Linked DNA regions of Tamandua tetradactyla. The protein of the gene in region 2 interacts with the protein of the main gene of each other region in a biochemical or structural test. Links are inferred from orthologs where the notes say so. Each region holds a gene or a part of one and is shown on either strand. Other genes may lie near its edges.

Region 1 (7,485 bases), on a different chromosome or scaffold from region 2:
CTTGATGTGTGGCAGGAGATGGGGTGGAGGGTGGGGTAGGGGGGAAGGGGTGGGCATGTTTTCCCGCTGATTCCCCATCATCCATGCACTCAGATCTGTAGGCTTTTATTACAAAGGTCTGACAACAAAGTCCCACTTTGGACTCAATGGTGGGACGTGTGTAGCTGAGGACGGCCTGTCCAATATCTGCCGATTACAATATGGGGTGTAGGACTTGCAGCCCAGGCAGAGAGGGAATGACAAAGTTTTACTTTCCACTGGATTCTAGAGACCCAGAAACAGAGCTTTGTGGAAAAAGTGACCTTGGGAAACTTTCTTACCCTCTTTCTCCATTTCCAGCCCATCAACAAGGCTTGTCAATTTCCATCTCTAAAATATGTCTTAAATCTGCTTGGCTCTTTCCATGTTCCCTGTCATCATCCTAAAGAAATTCTCTTCATCTTTTACCTGAACCACCACAGTAGCTTGCCCTCTTGCCCCAGCAAGCAATTCTGCAAACAGCATTTCAAGGGATCTCCTTTGAACATGAACCTGCTCAGAGCACAGGTTACTTACGAACACCATTGCTACCCCAAGGTTTTCACATAAAAGGAAATTTGCCTTGTGTTAAAATATGCTAGCCCCTATGTGACCTGGTTCTACCTGGCTCTTGCCAGCCTCACCTCCACCTGCTTCCCCCTACTCACTCTGCCTAGGCCCACTTTATCTTTTCTCAATTCCTTAAGCATTCTCTATCCTGCCCCTGGGCCTTTACACATCCCATTCTCTCTACAGGAAATCTCTGACCATGGCCAGATTCACAATAGAGGCTTCAGGTCTCTGCTTAAATACTTCTCTGTGATGCCCTGTCAAAGCTAGTTTGACTCCCTTCCCTCCACTGTTATTCTCCACCCCAGCCCTTCAGTGTTTCTCCCATAGTTCCATCACTTAGAACTATGCAGTTACATATGCACTGCTTGGCTTCCTTTTTTTATTGTGAAAAATAACATATAAACAAAAAAGGTATAAATTTCAAAGCACACCACAACAATTAGTTATAGAACAGATTTCAAAGTTTGGTATGGGTTACAATTCCACAATTTTAAGTTTTTCCTTCTGGCTGCTCCAAGACACTGGAGACTAAAAGAAACATCAATATAATGATTCAGCAGTCATACTCTTTTGTTAAATCCTATCTTCTCTGTTATAATTCCACCCTCTCCTTTGATCTTTCTCCCAACCTTTAGGAGTATTGGGGTTATGCCTATTCTAACTTTTTTTTGATAATATGGGATAGGGGGATGGAACTAGTTGATGTTCTGGAGAGGCTGGCCCCTCTGGGTTTCAGGACTTATCTGGCCTAGGAAACATCTGGAAGTTGTTTTCTGGAAAGTAATCATAGTGCATGGAAACTTTGTAGACTCTCAGATGTTCTACAAAGGTGCTCTTTAAGATTGGCAGGAATGGTATTGATTGGGATTTGACAAACCATGATAAATAGCAATATTTAGCTGAAGCTTGAGTAAGAATAGCCTCCAGAATAGCATCTCGACTCTTTTTGAACATTCTCACCCACTGATACCTTATTTTGTTATACTTCTCCTCGCCCTTTTGGTCAGGAAGGCATTGTTGATCCCGCAGTGCCAGGGCCAGGCTCATCCCTGGGGGTCTGCTTGGCTTCATTTTCTCTGGGCCCTTCCCTGACTAGAATATGTGGTCACTGCAGGGAGGGCCCTTGTCTGTGCTGCTCTGAGCCCTGAGCCTTCCTCAGTCTAGGAAACGTGCTCTGTATAGCCTTGTGGAATGAATGAACAAATGCGTGGGTGAGTGAGTGAATGAAACCCAGTCCCTGACTCTGTAACTCCTTGGTGTGAGACCACTCATTGGGCACTACGGAGGGCAGCAGAACCAGGCTAGGCTCCCGTAGGGCGTCTCCCTGGCCCAGGGGTTCAATTTCCAGGGATTTCGAGTAATCCCTCCCTGAAGCCAACTCTGAATTCCTGTACTGCACATGAGGATGCTGGTCCCCTAGTGGGGGTCAGGGGGAGAGAAGGGGTCTCCTTTTATTGTGTCATTGCTTGCCAAGGGCTCTAGAGTAAAAAAAAAAAAAAAGTGAAAACTCCAATGATTTATGTCTAAGTTTTGTTTATTTAGCAAACGTCCTGACAGCATCCTGAGCCCCTGAGGAGCCACTGCAACCCTGCTGAGGGGCAGCCTCCAGGACAGAGCTGCGTGGTCTTATCTCAGGGCAGCAGATTAAGTTTCACAATTATCCCTGACTTCTAAGGGTTGAGAACCCCAGGCACAAAAACCAATGGAAGTTGTCATTATTGAGCACCTCCAGTCTGCCAGATATTTTGTCCCCACGACCTTATCTCAAGGTTTCTCAACCTCAGCACTGTTGACATTTTGAGCCAGATCATTCTCTGTAGTGGGCGCTGTCCTGTGCGCTGGAGGGTCCTTTGAGCAGCCTCTCCCAGCCCCCACCTGCTGGATGCCGGCAGTAAGCCCCCCAACCCCCAGTTGTGACAACCAAAAATTGTTTCCAGACATGCCAAATGTTCCCTGAGGGTAACACCAGTCCAGGTGAGGACGACTTGCCTTATTTAGTCTTCAGGTCACACCATGCACAGGGGATAATTATTTCCATCTTACTGCTGAGAAAACTGAGCCTCACCCAGTTTTAGTATCGTGTCCAAGATCACACAGCTAGTGGGTGTCCACCTCTGCTGCCTGGAAGTTGGGCTCGATCCCCACCATAACAGAGGGCTCTTCCCACTCTGGCTTTCTTCACCCTTGGATACTTCCAAATCCCATAATTCTAGGGTCCTTTCCTTACCCTTCCATGCATGTTTTTCAAGCCCATAAAACCTCTTTTCTGCACTCCACGTGTCTGTACTTACGGTGTCCCGTGGCAAGGCGTGGCAGGCAATCGAGGCAGCGGTCCGGCAGGCTGGGTCAAGAGCAGAGGGCTGGCAGGCTAGAGCTAGTATTTGTGGCTGATGGCGGCAGGCTCTGCTCCACCCCTCCCCTGGCCCCGCCTTGGCCTGCCCTGGTGAGCCCTTTCAGGCCTCCAGCCAAGAGGAAAGAGCTGGACAAGGCCGCCCAGGCCAGTGGCTCACAGCTCTGCAATCCCCACACTGGACACTGTTTGCCTGCAATGGCAAGGGCCCTCCCGGGACACATGGCTTAAAAAGCTACCAATTGCTGGCATTCCAGAGTCAAAGAAAGGGACACCATCCGGCAAACTCTCACTTTCACTAGGTTCCATTCTTTCGCTCCCTGTAGCTGATTTGTTGTAGATCCAGTGGAGTGGGGGCTTGAGCCCAAGCTGGCTGCAGGTTTCCTGTGCTTCCTGGACTCCCAGACCATAACAGTCAGATTTTGGTCTAAATTAAATGGATTGAGAGAGCCTCAGAATGGCTGAATTGAAGTGATCATTGCATCATTTCCTTGTTCCACAATGGAATTGAGACTCAGAAGATGAAGGGACTTTTGAAAGTCATATACCAAGGGTGGGGCTGGGTGATGATTAATGCCAGGGTCGGTGACTCTGACACTGCTCTTTACTTAGAAAAGGACTGAATCTGGGATTTCTTTGGGTTCGGTTGGACTGTCATTTTTCATCTTGCACTTGAGGATTCCTAAATCGGCCTTATACTTCGGGGAGTATTTCCAAGACATTAGTGCAGGATATTGGCGCAAATCTTTCTTATATTTCCAGAGGTCCCATGCCTAGAACTTCCTACCGCCTTTGTGCACTGTCTGGGGCCATGATCCAGGAAACCTGTGTGGGTGCTGCTGGGATGTGAAAATGGCAAGGGGAAAAAGCAGTATTACCCAGAGGAAGCAATCTTGATGTCCAGCAAACCAGGTCACTCCACAATCACTGTTCCTTTCCTTCTACGTAATTTTTGGGTCTGTTCCTTTTCTTCTACATAATTTTTGGGTCTGGTTTAGGGAATCTTTGAATTTTCCCAGGAATGATAAGAATCATATTTATTGAGACCCTAAGATGGAATACACATTAAGCTAAATGCTTTATATACATTATCTCTTTTAGTCCATGCAACAAGCCTACAAGGAGGCACTGAGCTCAGCTTCAATTTAGAGACAAACACAGTCATTCTTAAACAGTGGGTCCTTATTTTGCACTCAGTGTCCTCTCAAAGTACTGGGAGGTAGATACAATTATCATCCTCATTGAATTAATTGAAACAGAGAGAGGTTAGGGAATATGCCTAAAGTCACACATTAGTGTCACACATCAATGTCTAGGTTTTTCACTTTCCAACAAAGGACTCTTTTAACAAACAGTCCTTTATCTTATTAAATAGAGGTTCCTAATCAATGTTTGCATTAGTCAGAGTCCTACAGGAAACAGAACTGACAAGAAGTTATTATAGATATATATTATGTAAATATTATAAGATTTATTATAGGAGTCGCCTCAAGTGACTGTTGGGATTGACAAGTCCAAATTCCATAGGGCAGGCAATTGGAAACTCCAACGAAGGTTTTAAAAAATTCTCCAGAAGAATCTGGTAGTTGAAGTTGACATAGAAATTCTTCATTCTGACTGCAGAAATCATCAGTTCTCTCTTGAGACTTCAGCTGCTTGGTTGAGATTTCTCACGTTCCTGAAGGCAATCACCTTTGTTGATTGTACAAGTAATGAGCCATAAATGCAATCAACTGACCCATGATTTAAGTCCATGAAATGTCATCACAGTAATAATCTGGCTGCTGCTCACTTGACCAAACAACTAGACACCATAACTAGCCATGTTGACACATACGCTTAACCATCACAATGTCCTATAGGATGGAAATTGTTGTTTCACACTTGTCATAAGCTGTATAATGGCCTCCCAAAGAGATCCACTTCCTAAAGCCCAAAATCTGTGAATGTTACCTTATATGACAAAAGAGATGATAACGATGTGAATAAATTAAGGGTCTAGAACTATGAAGATAATCCTGGTTTATCAAGGTGGGTCCTAAATGTAATTACAAGGATCCTTGTAAGAGAGGGATGGAAGATCAGAGTCAGGAGAAAGTGATGTAATGACAGAAGGTAAGGGAGAAAAGGTGATATAATGAGGTTATTAGCCAAAGAATGCTGGCAGCCTCTAGAAGCTAGCAAAATGAGGGCCAGGTTGTCCCTTATAGCCTCCAGAAAGAACATAGCCCTGCCAATGCCTTCATTTCAGTCAGTGGAATGCTTCTCAACTTTTGACCTCCAGAATTACGGGAAAATAAATTAAGCCACTAAACCCACAGTAGCTTATGTAGCAGCTATTAGAAACTGATACAGATTTTAAGATCAGAAGCCAGCTGTTGCTGTAGGAAATACCTACAAATGTGGAAGTGGCTTTGGAATTGGGTAATGGATAGAGGCTTAAAGAATATTGAGGCTAGAAATATGGACGTTAAAATTTCTGTGAGTGGAGACTCAGAAGGAAGTGAGAAGCAAGGTAGAAGAAATCTATGTCATTTTAGAAAGTAACTAAATAATCCTTAATAGACTGTTGGTAGAAATATTTTACAGGTGCTGTTCTTTAGGGATCAGAAGGAGTGAGGGTCATGGAAGAGATCATGATATCTTTTAAGGTCATGATATCATCTTAAAAGAATAACAAAATTGTCATTACAGATTGTTGATAGAAAAATGAACATTAGAAGGTCTGATGAGGAGGGCTCAGAAGGAAATAAGGAATACATTATTAAAACTGGAAGATGGGGGATCCTGTCATATAGTGGCAGAAAGCTTAGCTGAATTGTATTCTATAGTTATGGGGGAAGCGGAATGTGTGAGGCATGAACTTGGATATTTAACTGAGCAGATCTGCAAGCAAAGCACTGAAGGTGCATCCTAGTTTCCTCTTGCTGCTTCTAGTAAAATGTGAGAGGAAAGAGACAAATTGAGGGAAGAATTGTTAAGCAAAAAGGAATCAGATCTGGATGACTTGGGAAATTATCAGCCTATGCAGATTGCAAAAAATACGAAAATTAGGAGATTCACTGTCAGGAAAGCGTGCTCTGCAGAGAAAGCCGAGTGTGTGGATGGACAACATTTTGCATAGCGCCTATGCAGGATCAAAAGATCAGAGTAAGCAATTCCCACAGAGGGCTCTGTAACTAGGCTATGACTCATAGATCATCTCAAACAACTCAACAGAAACCAAAAATAGCGGTGGCATTATCCAGGAAAGATCTGTGGAGGATCCCTTGTCTAATCTCATGGATCTCCACAGCATGCATGAGAAGCCCACAAGGTTTTTGGGAATGTTACAGTTGAGAAAGAAGCCCTGAACTTTCTAGGCCTTTCTTGAGTGAAGGTTACCTATTTTTGATGCCCTAATTTGGACATTTTTATAGCCTTGCTTTAATTTGGACATTTTCATGGCTTTAGAACTGTAAACCTGCAACTTAATAAATTTCTCCCTTTAAAAACCATTTTATTTCTGGTATATCACATTCCAGCAGATAGCAAACTAGAACAATCCCTTAAGTTCTGGAACCTGTGAATGTACTTTATATGACAAAAGAGACTTTGCAAATGTGATTAAGTTAAGAATCTTGAGATGCAAAGATTATACTGGGTTATCTGAGTGGGTCCTAAGTGTAATTATAAGGGTTCTTCCTGAAGGGAGTCAAGAAAGTCAAAGGAAGAAGAGGCTATGTTGCAGTAGAAGCAGCAGGGGAAAAGATAAGTATGATATGGGACCACAAGCCAAGGAATGCAGGTGGCCTCTAGAAGCTGGAGAAGGCAAGGAAACAAATTCTCCCCTTGGTTCCCTAGGACAAACACAGACCTGTTGACACCTTGGTTTCAGATTCAGTAAACCTGTTTTAGACTGCTGGCTTCCAGAACTGAAAGAGAATAAATTTGCATTGTTTTACTCCCCTAAATTGGTGAAATGTACTATAGCAGCTATAGGAAATACACACTCCCAAGTCAGTTTGAGATGAAATAACTTTTGGAAAGATGAGATTAACCCATTACTTTGAGTCTTTGTAATACTGCCTATGTTATTTGTGGTGTATATGCTGTGATTGTTCAAGAGAGACAAGATATCACAGGCATTATTTCCCAAGTTTATATTTTAAAGAACAGCCGTGGTACCCATGACCTCTCATTGCTTTTCTGAAAGGGCTCTGTAAGAACCATATCTGGAGATGCATAAGTTTTAAGGTGGAGGTTTGCAGAAGGTGTCAGATCATGGTACTCTGGGATGGTAGGATAGGATCTGCCAGCGGCCAGAATATGGGAATTTGGTCTCCAAAAAACTGCTGAGGGATGGGAAGTCTCAAAATGGGGAAATAGTCTTTGGAAGAAGGGCTGAAAAATAAATGTTGGCCCCTTTGGTGTCTTACTTTGGTTAGCACGAATGTTCTGCTTGGCCCTCAGCTTCCACATCCTCTGTTACTCCAGCAGTGGACTCCCCAGCACTGGACCTGGGGCTCATCCTGGCCTTGGAGGTGGTTGGGAGAATCTTGTTT
Region 2 (7,030 bases):
TTTCCACAGGCCACTGGGGACCTACCAGCTCCATCATCAAATCTATCATGTTATAGGCCTGAGAAATGGCTTTTAGTACTGGCCACTGCCCGCCACTGCCCAGCCATCTTGACCTTTGGCAGTAAACATGTGGGGAGAAGGGAGTCCTCAGACTCAAGGAAATTGTGTAACCAGCCCTCAGGGTCCCCTATCGAGAACTGCTGAGGAGTCTTTCTGCCCTGTGTATAGGAGGAAAAGAAGAGTTTCAGGCCACACATGAGCCAAAGAAGAGGAAGGGAAGGAACGGTAGTCAGGACTGTGGGTGTGAGCAGCACATGCAGATGTATGTCTCAGCTACCCAGCTGCTGGGAACGGCCAGCCAAGGACATAGCATCCCCACTTGACTGGAATCCTGGGATGGACTCAGAATGACCTGGTCTTCAGGGCCAATATAGCCACTGCTGGGAAGCAAAGGCAGGCACTAGGGGTAGGAGTTATAATTTATAAAGCTCATCTTCTAGCTCTAGAGTCAGGAACTGTGCCTGGTAGGCCCATGATAAATACTGAATAAAATGAATAAAGGAAAGAATGAATGCTTTCACACACGGCATGATTTCATCCAGTCTGTAAGGTTGCCTCATTTTGCAGGGGAACTGAGCTCAAGAGAGTTAAGTGACTTGCCTAAAGGACATACAAACTATATGTGGCAGAGCTGAGGTCAGACATTATGGTCTTTTTACAGTACCATGCTGAACAGTAATAGAGCAACCCAGGAATACACACTGTGACCAGGTGTTAAGTTCCCTTTGGTTCCTGCTGATCAGAGTATATAGCCCTTCAGGGACCCCAGTTTCTTGGACACAGTATCAAGGTCAGGTCCAGATACCTGGTCCTCCTTATACATCTGGTATGTGCCTGCTTTTTAAAGAGAAGTTCCTGGAAAGAGGGCCCCTCTGTCAATCTCCATTGCCACATCTGACTCAAAAGGTTTGGATTCCCTGAGACACAGGGGCCAGGGGGCTGGTGGGTTTCTCCTGGAGTCAGGAACAGAATGACATCACATATCCAGTTCTCTCTTCTCTCACCCTCCACAGAAACTTCAGAGAGCCTAAACCACCAAGACAGTTCTTGGTCATGCTAGTAACGAACTCATAGTACAGCAAGGGCCTCACAGAAATTCGGGACCCGTAGCTCAAGCAGTGTTCCTGGAAGGAGGTCTCCAAAGCTGGGCAGGAGGGCTCCCTAAGCTAGAATGTCTTTCATACCAGGCCTTTCTCTTCATAGCCTTCTGTCTTGTATCCCTCTCTTTATGGATGCAGGGAGGTATAGGGCTCAGGAACAAGAATCAGAATAGCTGGGTTCTAGTACTTGCTCCACAATTGATCTGTTACATATCTTTTCTCCACCTCATCTTCCCCATCTGCAAGATGGGCATGATAATCTCAGCCTACATCCTAAACTATCCTGAGGTATTATTCTTTATGGGAAGGAAAGAAGAATGGAGGAAATCTTCCTTCCCTTCAGGGCACCTCAGTGTACTCTGTACCCATTCATTCACTGATTCATTCATATCAAAGCATCTGTGTGAACAAAGCAGGTACCAAGTGCTGAGGAAGAGACAAAGCCATTTAAGATATGATCTTTGCCCTCAAAGAATGAAAATCTAACACTGACTGTGTACCAAAAGATGGCCACGGAGAGCTCAGAGATTGAAAAAAGCAGTTCTGTAAAATCTTGGAGGCATTAGGATTGTTCAACCAGGTAAAGAGACAACAGGGGAGAAAGAGGGGGAAGGGGGCATCATGGTGCATAACGGTCTCCAACCCTCTTCGTCCAAGAGGAAATGAGGTCATCGTGCTCTGCGAATCAGCATGACAGCCTCCAGCCAAGTAATCTGGAGTCATGAGAGCTACTGGAGTAGCGTGAATCACGACAGGCTTCTGGGAATTTCCTGATAACTAACCTAGGAGTTTCGGGGTAAGTTCTCAGGCTGTAACATATCTGTTAACATTTTTATCACGTTTATTTACAATTAGCGTGGTTCTTAAAAGCAAACAAAACCTGCCACAGTGTTTTAGAGGAAGTAGGGAGCCTGACTCTAAGGCCCTTTTGACTCAGTCCATTGCTGGGTACCTGGTGGCTCAGCCCAGCACAAAAGAACTCTCTCCGGAGGTCAGCTGCTCCTGAAAACAGAATGGTTAACTTGCACTCCCCCCCCCCCCCCCCCCCAGGGGCAGGCATCCTGAGCAACCCGGGTCTCAGAGACCTCTGGTAGGGGTGGATCAAACTGGCCTTCCTCCTTCCTGCCCTCCCAACTATCTCCCCACCCTCCTTTTGCCCCTCTCACGTGGATCCAGACTCCAACCCCAGGTTTGCCAGGGAGCAAAACATTGCAAGCCTAAGCAGAAAGAGGGTGCAACATATGATTGCACACTGTAAAATTCTTTAAACGTCGCTGCATGTTTGAAAGTTTTTGTACTTAAAAAAAAAAATTGAAAAAAATGTAGAGGCCTTGACCAAGAATTTTTCCCACGGAGCTAACCATTTCATTTCTGCATAGAAATGGGCTTAAGTAAATCAAAATTCAACAATCAAAATTCTTAGGAAAAGAAAAGAAAGAAAGAAAGAAAGAGGGAACAAGCCTTTGGCCCCTGGTGAGTTGCAGGCACTCTGTCCTCTCCCATCCCATGAAGGGAATCAGTCCTGCTGGATGGTTTTGCAGTGACCTCAAGCCCAGGGTCCTGACACTAGGGTAAAGGAATGGGGTGGATGCCTGGACCGGAGACCCTGCTGCGCTCCTCCAGCTGTGCCAGAGGGATGTGTGCATGGGTGTGTGTGTGTGCAGGAGGGATGTGTGCATGGGTGTGTGTGTGTGCAGGCGTGTGTGGGCAGGAAGGGCGGGTCCATCTTTATGGAAGCCCATTTTGTTTGATAAGCAATTATTTTCATGTTAATAAAAACAAGGCTCTATGAAGACAGAATACTATATATATATATATAAAATTCTGTTTATCTTTTTGGAATCGGTGATACAGAGAGTGGGTTTTAAAGAACTTAAAAAGGGTAAGATGTTGGCCCAGGGCAGACAGTGAAAAATAAATCTTCCTCTCTTCCTCGTTCTCCAGTTCCCCCAGAGGAGGGGCTGGAAACTTCCTACTGACTATGTTAATAAGACTTTACAATGCCATCGTCTTTATGAACCAGTTTTTTCTGCCAGGAGACTCTGGCCCAGCAAATAAATTGATCCCTAATAGGAACTTCCTTAAAAAAAAATCAGCTCTGCAACAGAGTGCATCAACAGTGTGGGCCTGAAGCCACTGGTGTGAGCCACAGGCGGAGTCCCCAAACCCCGGAGACACTAAGGGCTTCTCTGAGGCGTTGAGGGCGGGAGGGTGGAAAGGTTGGAGAAGCGCTGATTTAGGGGACCCGGGAACAGGCGCTGGAGCTGGGCTGGGGGAAGGAAGTCTCCGGAGATCGCCTCTCCTTCTCTCAACTCCGGCCCCTCTGCCCCTAGAGCCAGCGGAACGGGAGGAGGGGGCGACGCCTGTAGATGCCTCTCGATCCGTCCGTGCAGACCTCGCTGGTACCCACGCCCGAGGGAGCGCGCTGCTTCCACTCTCGGTCACCATTGCCGGAGCACTTCTGCAGATGCTCTTGTTTTCCAGCTACTTTCCTAGGTGACAAGCATTTTAAAGCAGGAAAACTAATATAATAAACTGCATCTTCTTAAGATGTGCAATTTTATTCCGAAGAAACATAAGAGCCCACATCAGGTTTTATGATTCATTTGCCAGGTTTTTAAATGTTTGCACGAAACTGTTCAGAACTTCGGCTACAAGTAAAATGGTGTAAATAAAGACCATGCTATCTCGAAATTATGGATGTTAAAAAAAAAAAAAAAATGCGGAAGCACGCGGGGTCCAAGCCGGGGCGCGCCCCAGGGGAGCGGAGGGCAGGGAGGGGGCGGGCGATTCCGGAGGGGGCGGGGCCAGCCGAGGCGGGTTCTAATATAGGGCCCGCGCGCGGGGCCCACAGCACAGTGCCGACACCCGGAGCCCCGGAACTCGGCAGAGTGTCAACCTCTCCCCAGCCTTCCCGGCCCCGCGTCCCTCCGGTCGCTGCCATCGGTGAGTGCAGACCGCCCTGGGATGCAGCCGATTCCGGCTCTGCGCGCCTCCCTTCCACCCCAACACCCGGCTGCCGGGCGGGTCCCGTGGCTGCCAGCAGTCCCCGCGCTCCGCGTGCCCCCGCGTCCGGCTGCGGGTGCGGGTCCGGGCTGCCGCACCGGGAGCCCGGAGTCCCCGGAGACCGCGGGCCTGGGGAGCCTGGTTACCGCGGGATCTTAGGGTTCCTCTCCTGCCAAAAGCCCACTTTCTCCCTCTGCCACTTCTTCCCCTTACTTCTCCTTCCCTTGCAGAGACGCAGTTTAGAGCCCCAAGCTTGCCACCATGAGGGTCCTGCTGGCGTGCCTACTCCTCTGCGCCCCTGTTATGAGCGACTCCGAAGTGAGTGACTCCTCTGCTTGCTTTGAGCGCTGGTGGTGGGAGGGGACTTGCTTGTTCAGGGGATCCCATAACAGCTTCAGGGGAAGGAAGGGGCTGCAAAGGAAACTTAAGTTAGGATTCTTTCAGTGGCAGGGCCACACCTCCGGAAAATAGGACAGGTGTGGCAGTGGGGACCTCTAGAGAGATGGAACCAAGGGGGAGTGCACTTGCCCACAAGGGAGAAATAAGCCTCAGGGCTGCTACACTACAGCCTGCCAGCCCCTGATGTATGATGCTGGATTGAGTTGCTCTATTTCTCTACTGGAAACCCATGAGCTTCCCTTTGAGGGCAAGTTAAATAAGGACAGGCTGAGGAAAGAGGGAGCCTAAGGGGAGAATGGATTTGGGGACTGGAGTTCCAGGTGTATGGAGAGTTTGCTGACCCTTGCTCCCCTCCCCTCATATCTTCCAGGGCAGCCAAGAACTGCGTCGAGCATCTGGTGCATGTAAGTACCCACCCCTTGTACAGTATTTGGCGGCACAGACATCTTAGAAGAGCCTCAGGGGGCAGCCCTTCCCTATCCTGGCTGCAGGGCTGGCTCCCCCTATGCCTCCTTCCATGTCCTTGGCTGACCTCACCTTTGTGCTCTCCAGTGAACTGTGGCTGTCAGAACGGAGGAACATGTGTGTCCTACAAGTACTTCTCCAACATTCAGCGATGCAACTGCCCAAAGAAATTCCAAGGGGAACACTGCGAGATAGGTATGGGGATCCCGACACTAAGTGGGGAGATGGGGGCAGCACACATTTCAGGGTAGGAGGAGATGGTGGGATGCAAGAGCAGGCAGTAGTGAGGGGCTGGAGGGGAGGTGAGATGGGGCATCTTCATCCTTTTGTAATATACATGGCCAAACCTGAACACACACATACACACCGTCTCATGAAACAGTGGCTGCATACGCGAGATGGGGCTGGAAGGGGAGACCCTTTCCACTGTTTTCTGCTAAATCAGTAACCACCTGAGGCTCTGCACGATCTCTAATATGACCATCTGGACTTTCTCCTCTCTCTAATATTCTCTCATCCTTATATCCTTCCACAGATGCATCGCAAACCTGCTATCAGGGGAATGGTCACACTTACCGAGGGAAGGACAATGTCGACATTATGGGCCGGCCTTGCCTGGCCTGGAACTCTGCCAGTGTCCTTCTGAAAACATACCATGCCCACAGACCTGACGCTGTTCACCTGGGCCTGGGGAAACATAATTACTGCAGGTGAGCTGGGACAGCAAGGACCAGGAGCCTTCTCCATGGCCTCACAGAAACCCTTGTTACTGACCCCTCTGCCCCAGAATGCTAGCCATAGCCCCAGAAAAGCAAGACCTCTGGCTGGAATTTCCCTGGAGGGGAGGACACAGGAAAGGCATTCTGGACTGGAATGATGCCCCCCACCTCTCTCTGTTGCCAGGAACCCCAACCATCAGAGGCGGCCCTGGTGCTACGTGCAGGTCGGCCTAAAGCAGCTCGTCCAAGAGTGCATGGTGAATGACTGCTCTCCTGGTGAGTGTCACTGACTTGTTTATGACCAAGGGTGGGCAAAGTCTCTGCATGTCCCCTTGTTCCATCAGAGGAGGGATGAGCGGGGAGGCCTCCCTGGCCCTGCAGAACTGGGAGGTCAGAGAGGGGACACTTGACCCTATCTGCCTTCCCAAGACGTGCATCTCTTTTCCTCCAGGTAAAAAACCCTCCCCTTCTCCAGCAAAACCAGAATTTCAGTGTGGCCAGAAGGCTGTACGGCCCCGCTTTAAGATTGTCGGGGGAGAGTTCACCACCATCGAGAACCAGCCCTGGTTTGCAGCCATCCATAAGAGGCACCGGGGAGGCTCCACTACCTACTTGTGCGGCGGCAGCCTCATCAGTCCTTGCTGGGTCGTCAGTGCCGCACACTGCTTCATGTATGTCCCTCAGCCTCTTCTTGGTGATACCCCTGCCCCACCCCAAATGCATAGATCCCTTTCTCCTTCCCAGCCAAGGATTCTACTTCCATTCTCTCACCTCAGCCCATGGGCCGCAGGGACAAGTCACATTCTGAAACTGCTGTGATGGGAAGGGAGAAGTGACAGGGTCTCTTCCATGATCAGAACGTCTGACATATCTCACCTCCTACAGCAATGACCTAAAAAAGGACTACATTGTCTACCTGGGTCAATCGATGCTTAATTCCAACACGCCTGGGGAGATGAAGTTTGAAGTGGAAGAGGTCATCTTGCATGAAGACTACAGTGCTGAGACACTTGCTCATCACAATGATATCGGTGCGTGGGAAACCCTCAACCGATGTGATGATGGCTAGAGAAAGCGGGGTCCAGGGGGAGACCCAAGTGGGAAGTTGAGGTTTTGGGAGGACTTGAAGACTCTGCTTTACCCAACAAAGGGATGGCGGAGAAGGGTTCAGAGTAAAAGAATATGAGGGACCAGGTGCTCTTCTGTCCAGTTCCTGAATTTCCCCAACTGATAGGCACCTCTGAGTGGAAGTGGCCCCACAGGCATATGGCTTGGACTGAA

Evidence for each region.
Region 1: the proteins of PLAU (region 2) and SERPINA5 form a complex in vitro, tested with the Homo sapiens proteins (2 studies listed by BioGRID). The link is inferred for Tamandua tetradactyla from reciprocal best matches to the Homo sapiens genes PLAU and SERPINA5.

The regions. Positions count from the first base shown.
Region 1 is NC_135338.1:55,677,299-55,684,783, reverse strand, and holds the start of SERPINA5 (plasma serine protease inhibitor), read right to left. Parts: upstream 3,016-7,485; 5' UTR 2,883-3,015; intron 1-2,882. UniProt on the Homo sapiens protein: Heparin-dependent serine protease inhibitor acting in body fluids and secretions. Inactivates serine proteases by binding irreversibly to their serine activation site. Involved in the regulation of intravascular and extravascular proteolytic activities.
Region 2 is NC_135339.1:22,748,958-22,755,987, reverse strand, and holds the start of PLAU (urokinase-type plasminogen activator), read left to right. Parts: upstream 1-4,020; 5' UTR 4,021-4,106; intron 4,107-4,396; 5' UTR 4,397-4,427; coding exon 4,428-4,484; intron 4,485-4,935; coding exon 4,936-4,969; intron 4,970-5,117; coding exon 5,118-5,225; intron 5,226-5,565; coding exon 5,566-5,740; intron 5,741-5,933; coding exon 5,934-6,025; intron 6,026-6,200; coding exon 6,201-6,420; intron 6,421-6,634; coding exon 6,635-6,780; intron 6,781-7,030. UniProt on the Homo sapiens protein: Specifically cleaves the zymogen plasminogen to form the active enzyme plasmin.